Linked DNA regions of Oryctolagus cuniculus. The protein of the gene in region 1 purifies or fractionates together with the protein of each later gene. This does not show direct contact. Links are inferred from orthologs where the notes say so. Each region holds a gene or a part of one and is shown on either strand. Other genes may lie near its edges.

Region 1 (4,616 bases):
CAGGTACAGCGTGGAGAACGCCTTCTTTGATGAGAAGGAGGACGCCTGTGCCGCCCTGGGGGAGATCTCCGTGAACACCAGGTGAGCATGGCCCTCTGGCACCGAAACCCCCGCCCGCGCCCGGGGCCCCTCCCCGACAGCTGTGTGTCTGTCCACAGCGTGGCCTTTCTTCCGTACATGGACAGCGCCTTTGAGGAAGTATTCCGACTGCTGGAGGTGAGTGGGCTGCGGCAGTGGGGTCGGTGCAGAGGCTGGGGGGCCCATGTTGATGGTGCACACAGCGGTGTAACCCACCTCTCGTCCCAGTGTCCTCACCTGAACGTGCGCAAAGCAGCCCACGAGGCTCTGGGCCAGTTCTGCTGTGCGCTGCACAAGGCCTGTCAGAGGTGCCCATCAGAACCCAACACTGCTGGTGAGAACGGGAGGCTGGCGGGTGGGGGCCCTGGGGGAGACACAGGGCCTGACCGCCAGTAATGTCCCCAGCTCTGCAGGCTGCCCTGGCGCGGGTGGTGCCATCCTACATGCAGGCGGTGAGCAGGGAGCAGGAGCGCCAGGTGGTGATGGCTGTGCTGGAGGCCCTGACAGGGGTGCTGCGTGGCTGCGGGGCCCTCACGCTGCAGCCGCCCGGGCGCCTCGCCGAGCTCTGCACCACGCTCAAGGCCGTGCTGCAGAGGAAGGTGAGGCAGGCGGTGCGCTGCGGGGACAGGGCTGGGGCTGCTCAGAGCACTCAGGGCTGGGGAGGGCCTGGCTAAGCGGCTGCCCCTGCCCACAGACAGCCTGTCAGGACCCTGAGGAGGAGGAGGAAGAGGAGGAGGAGCAGGTGAGAACTCCAGGTGGTCCCCCAGGGGCTAGGTGGATGGTGCACTCTGCTTGGCCTGGGGAGCCAGGCTGCTAAAGTGATTGGTGATGGCCAGAGTGACAAAACCCTGACCCCACTCAGCCAGCAGGGCTCCAGGTAAGGAGGGCAGTGGGATGGGCTTGGAGGGGTAGGTGGGAGTGGGGGAGCGGAGGAAGGAGCTGGGCCAGTCCTGCCACTGGGCGGCTGCAGGATCACCTGTGGTCAGTGGCAGGGTGGGGAGACTGGCCTGGAGCTCCAGCCCCTGACCTGGCTCCGCAGGCTGAGTATGACGCCATGTTGCTAGAGCACGCTGGAGAGGCCATCCCTGCCCTGGCAGCCGCGGCGGGGGGAGATGCCTTTGCGCCCTTCTTTGCTGGCTTCTTGCCGTTGCTGCTCTGCAAGACAGTGAGTGCTCCATTCTGGCTTCAAACTGCAGTCCTCCCATGACTACCCCTCCGTGTGTCCCAGTCCCAAGGCTGATCTGCACTCCTCCCCACCCACCCCCGTCAGAAACAGGGCTGCTCGGTGGCCGAGAAGTCCTTTGCCGTCGGGACTCTGGCGGAGTCCATCCAGGGCCTGGGCTCGGCCTCAGCTCAGTTTGTGTCCCGGCTGCTGCCTGTGCTGATGAGCACCGCCCGGGAGGCAGACCCCGAGGTACGGAGCAACGCCATCTTTGGGCTCGGCGTGCTGGCAGAGCACGGGGGCCGCCCTGCTCAGGAGTATCCTTGGCTTGCCGAGCACACATTGAAGGTGTGGGAGTGTCCCCAGGGCTCAGGGATGGGTGAGGTCTGCGTGTGTGCCCATTCCTTGACTATGGATCAGACACTTCCCCAAGCTGCTGGGGCTCCTTTTACCCCTCCTGGCACGGGAGCGACAAGATCGTGTCCGGGACAACATCTGTGGAGCACTCGCCCGCCTGCTGATGGCCAGTCCCACGAGGAAACCAGAGCCTCAGGTAAGGGAGGGGCATCAAGGCCAGGGAGGGACGGGGAGGGCAGGGCAGGTGGCCTGAGGCTTCCGTGTGTCCAGGTGCTGGCTGCCCTGCTGCACGCCCTGCCACTGAAGGAGGACCTGGAGGAGTGGGTCACTATAGGCCACCTCTTCAGCTTCCTGTACCAGAGCAGCCCTGACCAGGTACTCGATGCTGGCGTCTTGGTACTAGGCGCAGGATGACAGTCTCAGTGTCCTTAGCCCTGTCTGGTTTGTCTGTGAGTAGTGGCAGCCTGTTCTGCGGAGGGAGAGGCGATGCTTCCTTCCTCTGAGTGTGTCTCCTTCAGCAGCTCCATTTCTACCCTCTGGTGGAAGCCACAAGTTGAAGCTTTCCTGGGCTGACTTCTAGACAGGGCTCACTGGGCTGCAGTTAGAAAGAGCCCTGGGCACCTCATGTATCTCAGCTCAAAGCACGTAGCTAGATTCGGCCAGATGTCCTGGTGTTGCTGTAGCACGCCTGTGGTACACCTGGAGACCACTGTGCTGGGAACGCCCTTGCTTTTGGAGGGCGGGGCGGGGTGAGATGTGTGACCACAGCGATGCTTAGCCACCTGCCCCATGGCTGCTTCTCTGTTGTTGCCTTTAGTGCCTGTGAGGCAGGCCCCAGCTCAAGCAGCCCTGGGGGACACTGCCTGTCCTTACAGGTCGTAGATGTGGCTCCTGAGCTCTTGCGCATCTGTAGCGTCACTCTGGCGGAAAACAAGATCCCACCAGGTGAGGGTGGCTGGCGAGGGGGTGGCGGGGCTCCAGAGCTTGGGGCAGCCAGGGCTTAGGGGCCTGGACCTCTCCCTCTGCACTGTCCACCCAGACACAAAGGCCGCGCTGCTGCTGCTCCTGACGTTCCTGGCCAAACAGCACATCGACAGCTTCCATACAGCCCTGGGCTCACTGCCAGCTGACAAGGCTCAGGAGCTCCAGGCCCTGCTGGGTTTCAGCTAGACTGCAGGCTGCAGCCAGGCCCGAAAGAACAGAGCCTGCCCAGGACCTAAGGTCACCTCTCAAGCCAGCTCCAGCTTGCACCTTACCAAAGAGTCGATCTCCTTTGAGTCAGCCGGCTTGCTGCCTTACAGGGGTGTCCCTGGAGCTGGATTTGTCACAAGTGGAGTCATGACATCATACCGTAATAAAGGCAGCTTGTTTTCTGCTTGGACAGAGGTATGTGTTCAGAAATGAAGCAGGCAGGGCCCAGTGAGGCAGAATATGGTTTAATGGAGCTAGTTTCCTGGCAGCTTTGTAAAATGGGCGTTACCCTCGGTAGAACCGGGGCCCTGGCTGGATCAGGAGGCGCCCGTACGGCTTCTTCTGTTCCACATGCAGTATCTGCTGCGCTGCGAGCACTGGTCAGGAGGGAGAAGAGGGCAGGCAGGAGTCCCCACATGGCCCTGTGCGGGGGGCTCACCACCCCGTGTGCACACACGGCCAGCACTCACCCAGGAGCAGGTAGAAGACCTGCGCAGCCACCCTGCGGGAGCTGAGCGGGGACACCAGGCTGCTGAAGTCAGGCTCCCGCTTGGCCCTCAGCTCCAGTGCCACTGCCCTGTAGGGATGGAGAAGGGTGAGCAAGGCCCCAGCCTGGCCCTCCCCACGGAGGCGCCCCCACCCCAGCACCTGTGCACAGCCTCCAGGGACAGCAGCTCAGGCTCTGGTGGCAGCTCGGAGGGCATCTCCAAGGGCACCTCTGGGAGCTCCGGCACCACCGGCAACGCCGGGGGCTCTGGCTGTTCCATCTCAGCCCAGGCCCTAGGGAGACATGGGAGTTGAGTGGAGCTGGAAGGCGGCGCTGTGGCTGGGATCAGGGCACGCCCATCCTAGCCGGTGGCTACACTGCAGGCTGGGCCTACACAGCCTGGCTTCTCACCAGCGTTCCTCTGGGGGGATGAGGCTGATCCGCGACTTCTCCTCCTCGGCGGGCTCCAGGGAGAGCTCTGTGGGGGCGGCAGGGGGCCCAGGGGAGTGTGACTGGCACTGAGCAGTCTGCCTTGGGGCACCCAGCCAGACCAGCTGTCTGTGCTGTGTGCTGCCTTGGGAAAAGCTGTGTTCTCTCTTATCAGCGCTTTCCCACAGGCTCGGGAAGCCCCCTCCGGGCGGGAGGACTGGAGAGTGCCCTGCGTTAGTTCACCCCAGTCCCTCACAGCTGGGCCACGGGCGGGCCCAGACCCCTCCCCCGAGCTTACCTGAAGACACCATGAGGGGACCGCTGGGCTCCTGGGCTTCCCTCAGGACCTGGAGACGGGAGGAGGAGAACTCAGACCCCGGCCTCACGAGCGTCCGGGGCCAGTGAGCCTGCAGCGTGCGCTGGGCGGGGGCGGAGGGGTGGGGTGTGGGTACCTCGATCTCACTGACAGCCTCAGCCCTTCTCTCCTCTTCCTCCACCTCCTCGGGCGGCCTTCGCCTGAGCGCTCTTGCGGGGGTCTGGGCACAGCGGGTCCACAAAGCCAGTAGTTCCAGGGGAAGCCGGCCGGCTGATGGGGAAGGGGCAGTGGCGACAGAGCCCTGTCACCAAGAGGGAGGACTCGGTCCTGAAGAGCCCTGCGCCCAACCCCCGCCCTCCTTACGGTACGTCGGGGTCCGGAGCAGCTCCGTGGGGCTTGTGATGGTCCTCTCCGGAGGCTGCACCATGGGCTGCGTGGTGGCAGGAGACAGGAGCCTCAGGAGCAAGCCACGCCTCGGCGCCCCTTCACCTACCTGTCCAGACTACAGCCTGCCTGCCCTGCTCGTGCTAAAGGACTACCGGGTGCCTGTGAATGTGCCAGGTGGGGCCGCGGACGCAGCACGGCAAGTTGTGGAG
Region 2 (5,865 bases), on another chromosome or scaffold:
GAAGCCACCCACCCCGGCTCCTCTGAGTCCCGGCAGATGGCTCATTCCGCTTCATCTCGTCTCGTCTCGTTCTGATCCTCACAGCTGCACGTGCAAGAGCTGCGTTTGCGGCCCCGGCACAGCGGGTGAAGCCATTGCCTGCGGGGGCTGGCATCCCAGCCGGGCGCCGGGACAGTCCCCCCAGGCCCTCGGCTGCTCCACGTCCGACCCAGCTCCCCGTGAATACGCCTGGGAAAGCAGTGGAAGACGGCCCAGGTGCCTGGGCCCCTGCCACACGGGAGCCCCAGCTTTAGACTCCGGCTGGAAAGGAGGCATTCCACACAGACCACAGAGCTCGCACAAAGCCTCAGGCCCTCAGCCTTCAGGGGGCGGGAAGACACCATCCGAGGGCCAGCCTTGGCCAGCCTTGCAAACAGGCCTGGTGTCAGGCCCGGGCTGCCAACATTTCTGTGAAATTGTACAACACAGCACACAATCCTGGATTTTTTTTTTAATATTTATTTATTTGGAAGTCAGAGTTACACAGAGAGAGGAGAGGCAGAGAGAGAGAGAGAGACAGAGAGAGAGAGGTCTTCCATCCGCTGGTTCACTCCCCAAATGGCTGCAACGCCTGGAAGTTGGGAGCTGGGAGCTTCCTCTGGGTCTCCCACGCGGGTGCAGGGGCCCAAGCACCTGGGCCATCTTCTCCTGCTTTCCCAGGCCACAGCAGGGAGCTGGATGGGAAGTGGGGCAGCCGGGACTCGAACCGGCGCCCATATAGGATGCCAGTGTTTCAGGTGGCGGCTTTACCCACTGCGCCACAGCGCCGGCCCCAGAGGGAGCACAAGGCCCTGCAGCAGGAGGGAGCCCGGGGGTGGGCAGGGGCAGGGCGGGGAGGGTGACAGGCGCGAGACGGGGCCTCGGGGCCCACTGCAGAGATCTCGGTTCCCCGCTAAGCAGGATACGCCTCTGGGGCTTGGCGCTGGGATCTGGGGTTCAGCGACAATCACGCAGCCAGCTCCTCTTCCTCCCAGCATCGGAGACGGAGTCCCCGGTACGGCCTTCCCCGGGGTCGGGAACGGACGGCGCAAAAAAAAAAAAAAAAAAAAAAAATTCACCAAGGTGAGAATAAATAAATGTTTAGTTAAACGCCTAGAAAACATCGTGCTAAGAACTCTGCTCGGGGTGGAATTCGGATGCACCATAACACATTTGGAAATACGATCGCCTAGGCCCTGGCCCCGCAGCCGTCCGGTCCCTGACTGGGCGGGAGCGGGACCCGAACCGCCACTCCCCAGGCCGGGACTCCGCGTCCGCTCACCGCAGACCCCCCAGGCCGCGCACGGCCTCAGCAGCCGGAGCCCCCGGCCCGAAACGCCCACCTGCACACACGCACCGGCATCCCCGCCGCGCCTCCTCCACCGCGCCGGCCCCCGACTTCCGCTCCTCTCCCGCGAATCCTCAGACACGCCTTCCTCTGCTCCCGCCCCCACAGCCACCTCAGCCAATTAGGTCTCCAAAAGCCTGCTTTATCCCCGCCCCACTCCTGCCTGCCAATCACGGCGGCCGCGAGTACCCGCCCTTCCCACGCTCTTAAGCGAGCGCCGCGCGCCACCGCTCGGCCGTTGGCGGTGCTGCTCCCTCAAGGATGCGTCTCTCGGAAAAGCTGCGAGAAGGGGCGGGCCCCGCCTGTGCGGGAACCCTCAGGATTGGCCGAGAGCCGGGCTCTGACTCCGCCCATCCCCGCCCCCGCCATCCGAGTCGGAGACGCTGGGGATTGGTTCCCCGCGGCCACCCCGCGAGAAGCCCACAGCTGGTCCCGCCTCCCTCGCGCGCGTGCGGAGAGGGAGCTCCGCGGATTGGTTTGAGGAGTCCGGGCGCGCGCCAGCGGCGCTCGCGGATTGGCTGACGGGGCGCTCGCGCCGCCGCGGAGCGTTTGCGGTGATTGGCTAGAGGGCGGAGCCGGCGATTTGAAGGCGGCGCGCGGACGCGGTGCGCGTTGCAGTCCGCGGCGAGAGGAGGCGGGAGCGGCCGCCGGTGACGCTGCCCCTCTGCCCGCTCCCCCGACCCCGGCTCCCGGCGACACGATGGCCAAGGTGTCCGTGCTGAACGTGTCGGTGCTGGAGAACCCGAGCCCTTTCCACAGCCCCTTCCGGTTCGAGATCAGCTTCGAGTGCAGTGAGGCCCTGGCGGACGGTGAGGCTGGACCCGTGCGGAGACCCCCACCCCAGCCCTGGGCCGACCCTGACCCCGACCTCCCCGTGGAGAGCCGCCCCGTGGCCAGGCCGAAGCCCCCCGGGGCCCCCTCCCTCCGTCCGCTTAGCCCCCCCCGCTCCCCCATCGCCCCCTCCCAAACCCCAGGACCCCCCTCTCTTGCAATGGCGCTCCTCCCAGGCACCGCTTCCTAATGATAGAGGCGCATCCACCGGCGGAGACCCCCACGCCCCCTGCCTCTTCCCCACCCCTGCCGCCCTCCTCGCCCCCGTGTCCGCCCCAGCCGTGCCCTGCCCAGTGTTTAAATGACCGCGTCCGGGGGTCATTGCGACCCCCGGGGTGGCGGTGGAGGGGCGTCCCGGCTCCCGAGGCTTCCCGGTCCGACCGTGGGCCTGGGTGGGCGGTGGGCGCGCCCCGGACCGGCTTCCCGCGGCTTCCCTATCCCGACGCCGTCCGGTGGGCGGTGGGCGCGCCCGGGGCCCGCGGCGGGGTGGTGGTCGTGGCGCACGGGAGGGCACAGCAGCCACCCGGAGCCCCGGGCCCTGCGCACGCCGGGGTCAGCCGGGGCCAAGGCCTGCGTGCACCCAGCGCTCAGCTCCAGGGCGGAGCCGGGGAGGCCGCTGGGTGGCAGGGGGGTGGCCCGCGGGGCGGCCGCCGCCTGTGGCTGACTGTGGAGTAAGCCGGCTGGAGGCTCTCTGGGACACGCAGGGCGGAAATAAAAGTGTAAGCTGGCGGGGGTTGAGACTCGCTTTAAAGGCCGGCAGGAGAGGCGAGGGGCCCCTCGTCTGAGTTCCCAGGTGACGCGGGTGGGGTGCCGTAGGCCTGCTTTAAAAGCAGGCGCTATCTGAGAAGTGGGTGCCTGCGACGCCCCGGGCCCTGCGGCCCAGGAGCCAAGCCCCCGCCTTGACCCCCTGCGCGTCCCGGGCGGGGGGCGGGGCGTCGCTGGGGCCGTGATGTCTGGGGACAGGAGCCTGGGCAACCCTGGTGTGGGGCGCCTCTGAGTTCCTTCTTCCTCTCCCAGCCCCCAGTCGGGGGCCCCCTGACTCCCAGGGGCCGCACGGAGTACATCAGGGGTGCGTGTGCTTGCGGGGAGCGGGGGAGCCCCTCAGGGAGCTGAAACAGCAGGCGCCCCGCGAGGCCAAGGCCACGGGCAGTACGGCTCGAAGACTGCGGCTCCGGACCGCCTGGTCACCGGATCGCAGCGCCGCTTCGGCTGGAGTCCTGGACGCGCAGCTTCCGACCCAGCTTCCTGCTGCTGCGCGCTGTTGTGCGCCCCTGCCGCCCACGCGGGAGACCCACGGGGAGTTCCAGGCGCCTGGCTGTGGCCTGGCCCACCTCCAGCTGTTGGCATTTGGGGAGTGGACCAGCGGGTAGAAGATCCTGCTCTTTCTGCCCCCCACCCCCCCATCGCCTGCCTTTGTCTCTCTCCTCTGTCACTCCCAGATAAATACAAATGGGAAACAGATTCTTCAACGACAATGATTTCTTGTTTAAATATTTGTTTCATTATTTATTTGAAAAGTAGAGTTACAGAGAGAGAGATAGGTCTTCTGTCCATTGGTTCACTCCCCAGATGGCTGCAACGGCTGGAGCTTCACAGATCCAAAGCCAGGAGCCAGGAGCTCCATCCAGGTCTCCCACTCAGGTGCCGGGGCCCAAGCACTTGGGCCATCTTCCACTGCTTTCCCAGGCCATAGCATAGAGCTGGATCGGAAGTGGAACAGCCGGGACTCGAACTTGCACCCATATGGGATGCCGGCACTGCAGACCCGGGCTTTAACCCACTGTGCCACAGCACCGGCCATCACTTTCTTAACGTGTGTTTAATCATAGCATTGGCTTTGCATTTGTTGTCATACGGAGTAGAGGTGTATCCTGTGCGGGGTTCAGCCTGTAAAATTGGGGATCAGAACAAAATGTAATTGACGTGCCTTTAATCGTGTTCAGAAGTTAGATAGACTGTGTGTATACAGTTATGTCCTGTATTTGGTAGGTATTTTTTTAAGAACTTATTTTATTTGAAAGGCAGAGCTACAGAGAGATCTTCCATCTGCTGGTTCACTCCCCAGATGACCACACGGCCAAGGTTGAGCCAGGCCAAAGCCAGGAGCTCCATCCAGGTCTCCCACGTGGGTGCAAGGGCCCAAACCCTTGGCCATCCGCTGCTGCTATCCCAGGTACATTAGCAGGGAGCCGGATCAGAAGTGGAGCAGCTGGAACTCAAACCAGTGCCCCTGTGGGATGCCAGTGGTGCAGGCAGTGCCTCAACCTGCTAGGCCACAGCACTGGCCCTTATGCGTTTTTATATTTTTTTTAATGGTTGATTTCTTCTACTTGAAAGGCACAGAGGCAGAGAGAAGGGAGTTCTTCCATCAGCATTTACTCAAAAGATAGAGTTACAGAGAGGGAGAGTGACAGAGAGAGATCTTCCATCTGCTGTTTCACTCCCCAAATGGCTGCAACGGCTGGAGCTGTGCTGATCTGAAACCAGGAGCCAGGAGCTTCTTCCTGGTCTCCCATGTGGGTGCAGGGGCCCAAGGACTTGGACCATCCTCCACTGCTTTCCCAGGCCACAGCAGAGAGCTGGATTGGAAGTGGAGCAGCCGGGACTCAAACTGGCGACCATATGGGATGCCAGCACTGCAGGCGGTGGCTTCACCCGCTACGTCATAGTGCTGGCCCTGAATTGGTGATTGATATCCCATGTCCAGTGCTGGTTTGTTTTGTTTTGTTTTGAGCGAGAGATGGAGAGGTCTCCCATCTGTTGGTTCACTCTCCAAATGGCTGCAACAGCTGGGACTGGGCGCTGCATCCAGGTCGCCCGCGTGGGTGGTAGGGACCCCATTACTGGAGCCATCACCACTGTCTCCCAGGGTGCGTGTAGGCGGGGAGTGGAATCAGGAGCCCCACCCACTGTACCAGGTCTCCCCACCCTCCATATCTGACCCCAAAGGTTTGCACACCTTCGCCTTCTGTATCTGTTAGACCCCCCAAGGACATCCAAGTCCTCAGTCCCTTTTATAAACTGGCACAGGCGCGCGGGCGGGCGTCACAGTGCCGGGCGTCACAGTGCCGGGCTGACTCCTGGCTCCTCTGCTTCCACTCCAGTGCGCCTGGGAGGCAGCACTTGGGCCCCTGGCACCTATGTGGGCGCCCCCTTGGGGTCCTGGCCCCCTGGCTCCTGGCCTCAGCCTGGCCCAGCCCTGGCTGGTGAAGCATCCGTGGAGCGAACCAGCAGTTGGAAGATGTCCACCCCCGCCCCCACCTTCGATTTGCCTTCCAGATAAGTAAGGCGTGGTATTTACACACAGCCTGTGCACGGTCTTCAGATCTCTTCTCAGTTCCTTGAAGTCCCTAACACAGGGAAAACACTGTGCAACTAGGTGTATTGTGTAGAGAACAATGACGTGGGGTTTTTTGCCCTCACATGTTTTCCTCCATGGTTGGTGAGACGCACAGATAGGGCTGGCCAGCCGTGCCCAACCTGGAGTCACAGGCGTACGTCCCTGCTGTCAGCTCAACCTGTGCGCCCTCGGCTCCAGCATCTTCTGTCTTTCCCAGTGGTTTCAGCTGTTCCTCAACCTTTTTTTTTCTCTCTTTTTCTTTTTTTTTCATTTATTTTTTTTTTTTTTTTTATTTACAGTCAGAGTTAGACAGTAAGAGAGAGAGAGA
Region 3 (5,831 bases), on another chromosome or scaffold:
TCTGCATACACCAGTCTCAAAGGAGTCATGTTCTAATCTTCAAATGGTCATTTTATCTCATGTATCCAACATGTCTTAGTGCATACAGCAATCTCCATTTTATCCTAGCCACCATTAAGACCAACATTAATAAGAGTGCTGTTTTATCACCTGTAGTAAACTGTGTCTGTTACCACACAATGACTTTCACTTTAATGAACAGAAACAACAGGGTTCAAGAAACTTTCGGTAGGTTCTACCTAACTGCTGAATTATTAAAAAAAAAAAAAATCTGACTCCTCTCCCCCAACTACTTTTCTTGAATGTGGGCAGGCCTAATATTAACTGTCCCAAGTTCATTCCAAAGACTATCAGATGAAGCTGTCCCACCATAAGCAACGTACCTTAAATATGAACCATGCTAAGAATGACAAATCAAAATTCTGGGCACTATGCTGAGAGGAAGCCCTTATAGCATCAATGATACTTAGGAAATAACTCAATGACAAAGTAATTTTCAGTCTGGATTGAGTCATTTGGGCGTTTGGGGGTTTCAATCTCAACACTTAAATAAAAAATAATAGCTAGGAACTGCACGGAATGAAACAAACCTTTTTCCACCCTTACTCAGTAGACTCCAAGCTCAAGAGCATGATAAAAGCTCCCCCATTTCCCCACAAGGGTAGGCAAACAGATAAAGCTATTCACATGTCCTCATTTCAGACCTCAGAATCTGTCCAGCCAAGAATTATGTCCAACGGCTTAGGTCATAAACTGTTGAAGATGAAAAGTAGTGATATTCCTTCCTGTTTTTTTCCCTTCTCTACTGTGCCGCCCTTTTGGTTTCCCGACTCTTCCATTTTCTCCTTTTATGTTCCTGCTATGCTCCCCAAACAACACAAGCCTGAGGTGTAACTGATCACCTCTCCTGTAATTTTTCTTTTTCTTTCTAGAGCTATGGAATGGGCAGAAGATAACCAGGTGCAGCCCAAGATTACCCACTTAAATTTACCGAGCAAAGTGTGTAAAATCATCTCCTCTCCTTTCATTTTGTGTCTACTTAAGTAACGGCGCTGTCGTGCCCAAGCGTAGATACTAGCCAAGAACTAGATTTCCAAAATGGCTTTGCTCCTTTCGAGCTGACATCGGCCTATAAAATGCAATTTATTTCCACTGCAACCAACCCTTTTCTCAACTCCAAATACCACCCAACTCACAGCTGAATCTAACCTGGTGTAGACGACTGCATCTTATCTGATAAAACTGAGCAGAGTCAACAAAGCCTTTTGCACTGATGTATAGGAGTGCTTAAAAAAAAAAAAAAAAAAAAAAAAAAACCCACGCCACCCAAAAACCAGACAGCAGCAAACCCAGGGGGCGGGCGTCGCCGCGCTCGCGCCTCCCCGCCGCGGCCACGCCCCCCGTCCCCGCCGCGGCCACGCCCGACGTGAGGCGCGGGAGTCGCCGGGCCGGGGGCGGGGCCTGCGCGCCCCTCCCCCCGCCGCCGGCGGCGGCCTCCGCGCGGGCCTCCCAGCCCGTATTCCACTCACTTTGTTCTCCGCCTTTGTCCTAATCCACACCAGCAGGTGGAGCCGCAGTTAAAGTTTCCGAGTCCATTCCGGGAGCGGGAGCCCATCTTGCTCGCAGCCGAGGCCCTCGCTGGAGGAGGAGGGTCAGAGCTCGGGTGCAGCCAATCGCGAGCAACGCTGCTAGTTATCAGAGCAGAATGGGCTGTAGTTTAGTGAAATAGGAAAGCTGCAAAACACTGTGGAGTGCTCTCGTGTAAATAAAAAGAGGAAAAAAAAAGTTTCTCAAGTCGCCGCTGCACGACGTCGGGCCGGCGCCGGGGCGGGGGTCTGCGCTCTGCCGAGCGGCCGCGGGCTGGACTTTATTGTGCCGCAACAAGCCCCCGCTCCCATTGTTTGTGTTTTTTTCAAAATATGGCAAAGGTTCAGGTGAACAATGTAGTGGTGCTGGATAACCCTTCTCCTTTCTACAACCCGTTCCAGTTCGAGATCACCTTCGAGTGCATCGAGGACCTGTCTGAAGGTGAGTCGCGCCGCCCGCCCGCCCGGGCTGTCAGTTGCGGGCTGCAGACGTTGAAAGTTTCCCGGGCCCGGCCTCGCGCGGGGCGGCCGCCCTCGGCGCCCGGCGGGCTGCGGGCTCGGCTCTGCGGAGGGAAACTTGAAGTTGATGGACGACGGCCGGCCAGGCGCGCGCGGCTTCCAGCCGCAGCCCAGGCGCCTGCCGCGGCTCAACTTGCGAGGAACTTGTTCGAGCGGAGGTAGCCATGTTGTCAGCTTTGTCTGGCGGGCGGGCGTTTCGCGGGACCCGCACTCGCGCCCGCGGCGCCGGCCGGGAGGTCGCGCCGGGCTGGCTCCGCGGTACGAACCGCCCCCGCGCCCCCCGGCCGCCGCGTGGAGGTGGGCAGGGGCAGGCGCGCGCGCGTGGGGTCGCGCCGGCGAGTTCGGAGCGGAGCCATCTTACCCCGAGTTGAGAATTGGGCCGGCGACCCCGGCGTCACGACGCCTCCTCGCGCCCCGCGGCGGTGACGGACGCGGCGCGGCGCCGGCCCACCTGCCTGCCCCCCCACCCACAGCCGGAGGCAAACCCGTGTTTGCAGCTCACGGCCGAGTTGCCCCTCTCCGCCGGCTGGTCGTGCCCAGCCGCACCGGGGAGGGCAGCGAGGCTGTCCTCGCGCTGATTCCTGGCTCCCTCGACCAACCAGCAGGGGAGGCGGGCGCAGGCTCGGCCCCTCCGCGCCGCGGGCTCCCCGGGGGCCGCGGGCCCTCCCCGGCTCTCCTGCTGGGGATGCTCGGGGCGCCTGGGGATGCTGGCGCGCAGGCTCCGGGACCGGCGTGGACTCCTCTTCCTCATTGACGAAAACCTCTCTCCTCTCTCAGGGAGGAAAATATTGCTATGCTGGAAAGTTACATTTAAACCCGAGTAAACATGAATGAGATCCTTAAAAAATTTTCCAAGATTTAACCATGCTGCTAAATAGTCTGAACGAAGACTTTATTCAAGAATCTAATTAAAACTCCACATTCAAATACAGAATATACCCTAACATATCACACAACGTGGGCTAAGAAATAAAAAGTAAAATCTTGATGGCAAATGCAATTTTTTTAGTATTTCTTAAGGTCTTCAAAAATAGACAAACGTTTTTAATTCGTGCAGTAATAAAGTGTTTAGAAAGCCAGAACTTGGTAATTTCTGAGCTTTGCTTTTTTCAGATTTTATTAAAATAGTCCAGTGCTTCATTTTCAAAATTTGAGGGGAAAAAAATTTAACTTTATCAGTGTAAATTTTACAATTAAATAGGGAGACATACTTGAATTTACAAATGTATTTGACAAAGTATATTTAAAATTATTAGGATAATCATGTAAAGCATTTTCATTTTAAAAATTAGTTTTTAGTCTGAAGTGTATTTTAGTGGTGTATTAACATTCATTATAAAAACAATATATGCTCACTGTAAAACTTTTAAAAGTTGTGCAGACATAAAGTAACAGTCCCTGCTCATTGCCTTCCTCCATTTCACTCCCTAAACTTAACATTATAATATGTGCCTTTCTGTTTTAATAACATGTAAAGCATAAGTGCACATAAATTTTATGTGTAGGGTGTAGTCAGAAAGATGACTCACTTATTAAACTAATCTCTACCTAGGTCATTGATAATCAAATTAAAGGGCATTTTTTCTTATTCTGAAGCCATCTGATTACTCTCTCTTAGCACTACTATACCATGTAACCATCTCAGCCAGGAGGCCCATTTTCCAGTCCCCATAATCAGTATTTTTTTTTTTTACTGCTAATTGCATATGAAAACAGGCAAATAAGAACCTATGCTACAATGTTTTAGGCATCAGAAGATCTTCAAACTACAGATACTTCTGAAGTGATGCCTTCCATTTTAGGATCAACCCAGAACAAGACAGATACCAAGATGCTGTTAGAGGACTTTTATATTGGGTAGCGGAAACCTTCCATTCATAGTAGCCAAACTATATTCTATCTTTAATTGGTATCCCAAACCCAGCTCGGTCGCATTGAGCTTTTTACAATAATAATGTCAAGAATACACCTACTTCCACTGGTACCCCACACTTCAAGGGTACCATTAATGGGCATTTATTTAGTATTTTATAAAAAAAATTTAAGCTGAGTCATACTGAAGCTGCAAAGGAATCTTTCAAAAAGGTGCCATGCCTATGTACTCCACCTAGAGGCTGTGTGGATTAAGGAAATAGTTAGCAATGGCTCTTCATAGGCTCCATAATTTTATATTGTACTTCTTTTATTAAAAATCATTTCCTGAAATTAAAGTACAGAATATTCTTAAGAAAATTTTTCACTTTATAAGCTGTTTATCCAAGTCCCAAACCAGAGTTCAGCCACTATTTTTTTCCCCACTTTTCTTTAAAAGCTGCCCTTGCAGCTTTGCTTTCATAAAAAGCCTTCTGTAGTATTTGCTCTTAAGATAATTTGGATGTTTCTAACATCCTCCTTGAAAAACCAGGTGTCAAGATTTAAGCACAAGCTTTCCTGTGCTTGATCTGATGGTCATCAGGCCTACACAAGTTTTGACTGACCTCCCTTCAAGCAAACTTTCAAGTTTACTACATATGTCCAACTTATAGCTACTGTTGGCAAAATTCTTACAATGTACCAGAATTAAGCACAGTGCTTCATATTTTCAAATTTCAGGCTTACTCTAATTCCAAAGACTGCATTCTTCCCACTAGACCATAGGTCTTCTCAAGGAATGTAATTAGCTTAAAATCTCCTTGTTAACTTCTCTCACTCCCCCCACATGAGGAGATACTTTCAGGGAAGGGTTATCATGATTAAATGAAACAATTAGTTAACTTCCAACAAATGAATAAACTACTTCAGCTGAAAGCCTAGGGAAAATTTTGACCTTATCTCTTCCTCCTTCCAATATAGGAGGCAGGGAAATGAAAACTAAGCTTTAAAAAAAAAAAAAAAAGATGCTAATTTTAAAAAGCACCAAACATTTGAAAGTAGCTAAAGCAAACTTCTCATGAGATTAAAAATCAGTGTCCAGGCCTTCCTTCAGTTGCATCTTGTACTTGTTAGGGCTTGATTATTTCCCCATTCCTCTGTTCTCTATCTCCCACTCCCCTTACAGTTAAGTCCCTAATTCTATTACTAATTTGAGAGCAAGGGGAGATTTATCTTTACATTTTTTAAAAAGATTAATTTATTTGTGAGGCAGAATTACAGAAAGGTCTTCCATCTGCTGGTTCTCTTCCCCAAATGGCCGCCAATGGCCATAGCTTTGCCAATCTGAAGCCAGGAGCCAGGAACTTCCTCCGGGTCTCCCACACCGGTGCAGGGGCCCCCCACACCGGTGCAGAGGCCCCCCACACCGGTGCAGAGGCCCAACCTCTTGGGCCATCTTCTGCTTTCCCAGGTCATAGCAGAGAGCTGGATGGGAAGAGGTGCAGCCAGGACAAGAACTAGCACCCATAAGAGATGCTGGCACTGCAGGTGGAGGCTTAGCCCACTACGCTACAGCACTGGCCCCTATCTTATTTTTTTAGTTGGAGAGACAGAGCCTGATTCTTTAATGTACAAATTGTGAAATCTGGGTAGGTTACTTAAACTCTGAGTCTCAGTTTTCTGTTTGCATAATAGGGATGATATGATATGATACGATATGATAAAGTTGTGGAGGTTTAAATAACAGGTATGACGTGGCAGGATCAATGTGCAGCACACAGTAGGTATTTTATAAAAGTAAGTTTACAAATTATAGCCATGTTCCTATGCCAGACACAAATGTCAATTTAACTCATACCAATTAGTACAAGAGCA

Evidence for each region. Proteins that work in one complex are often made in the same cells at the same time.
Region 2: the proteins of IPO4 (region 1) and ASF1B purify together in Homo sapiens (affinity purification with mass spectrometry; 5 studies listed by BioGRID and IntAct, counting the BioPlex papers as one, with this or other methods). This does not show direct contact. The link is inferred for Oryctolagus cuniculus from reciprocal best matches to the Homo sapiens genes IPO4 and ASF1B.
Region 3: the proteins of IPO4 (region 1) and ASF1A purify together in Homo sapiens (affinity purification with mass spectrometry; 4 studies listed by BioGRID and IntAct, counting the BioPlex papers as one, with this or other methods). This does not show direct contact. The link is inferred for Oryctolagus cuniculus from reciprocal best matches to the Homo sapiens genes IPO4 and ASF1A.

The regions. Positions count from the first base shown.
Region 1 is NC_091443.1:51,019,764-51,024,379, forward strand, and holds the end of IPO4 (importin-4), read left to right. Parts: intron 1-3; coding exon 4-81; intron 82-158; coding exon 159-216; intron 217-306; coding exon 307-412; intron 413-483; coding exon 484-677; intron 678-772; coding exon 773-820; intron 821-1,117; coding exon 1,118-1,243; intron 1,244-1,348; coding exon 1,349-1,557; intron 1,558-1,660; coding exon 1,661-1,793; intron 1,794-1,867; coding exon 1,868-1,972; intron 1,973-2,414; exon of another isoform or gene 2,415-2,472; coding exon 2,473-2,542; intron 2,543-2,636; coding exon 2,637-2,767; 3' UTR 2,768-2,978; downstream 2,979-4,616. Other genes in the region: meiotic recombination protein REC8 homolog, read right to left, coding at 3,074-3,165, 3,259-3,365, 3,437-3,568, 3,687-3,753, 4,003-4,051, 4,157-4,290, 4,384-4,450. UniProt on the Homo sapiens protein: Nuclear transport receptor that mediates nuclear import of proteins, such as histones, RPS3A, TNP2 and VDR. Serves as receptor for nuclear localization signals (NLS) in cargo substrates.
Region 2 is NC_091447.1:62,993,048-62,998,912, reverse strand, and holds the start of ASF1B (histone chaperone ASF1B), read left to right. Parts: upstream 1-1,953; 5' UTR 1,954-2,066; coding exon 2,067-2,175; intron 2,176-5,865. UniProt on the Homo sapiens protein: Histone chaperone that facilitates histone deposition and histone exchange and removal during nucleosome assembly and disassembly. Cooperates with chromatin assembly factor 1 (CAF-1) to promote replication-dependent chromatin assembly.
Region 3 is NC_091436.1:51,470,783-51,476,613, reverse strand, and holds the start of ASF1A (histone chaperone ASF1A), read left to right. Parts: upstream 1-1,919; coding exon 1,920-2,028; intron 2,029-5,831. UniProt on the Homo sapiens protein: Histone chaperone that facilitates histone deposition and histone exchange and removal during nucleosome assembly and disassembly.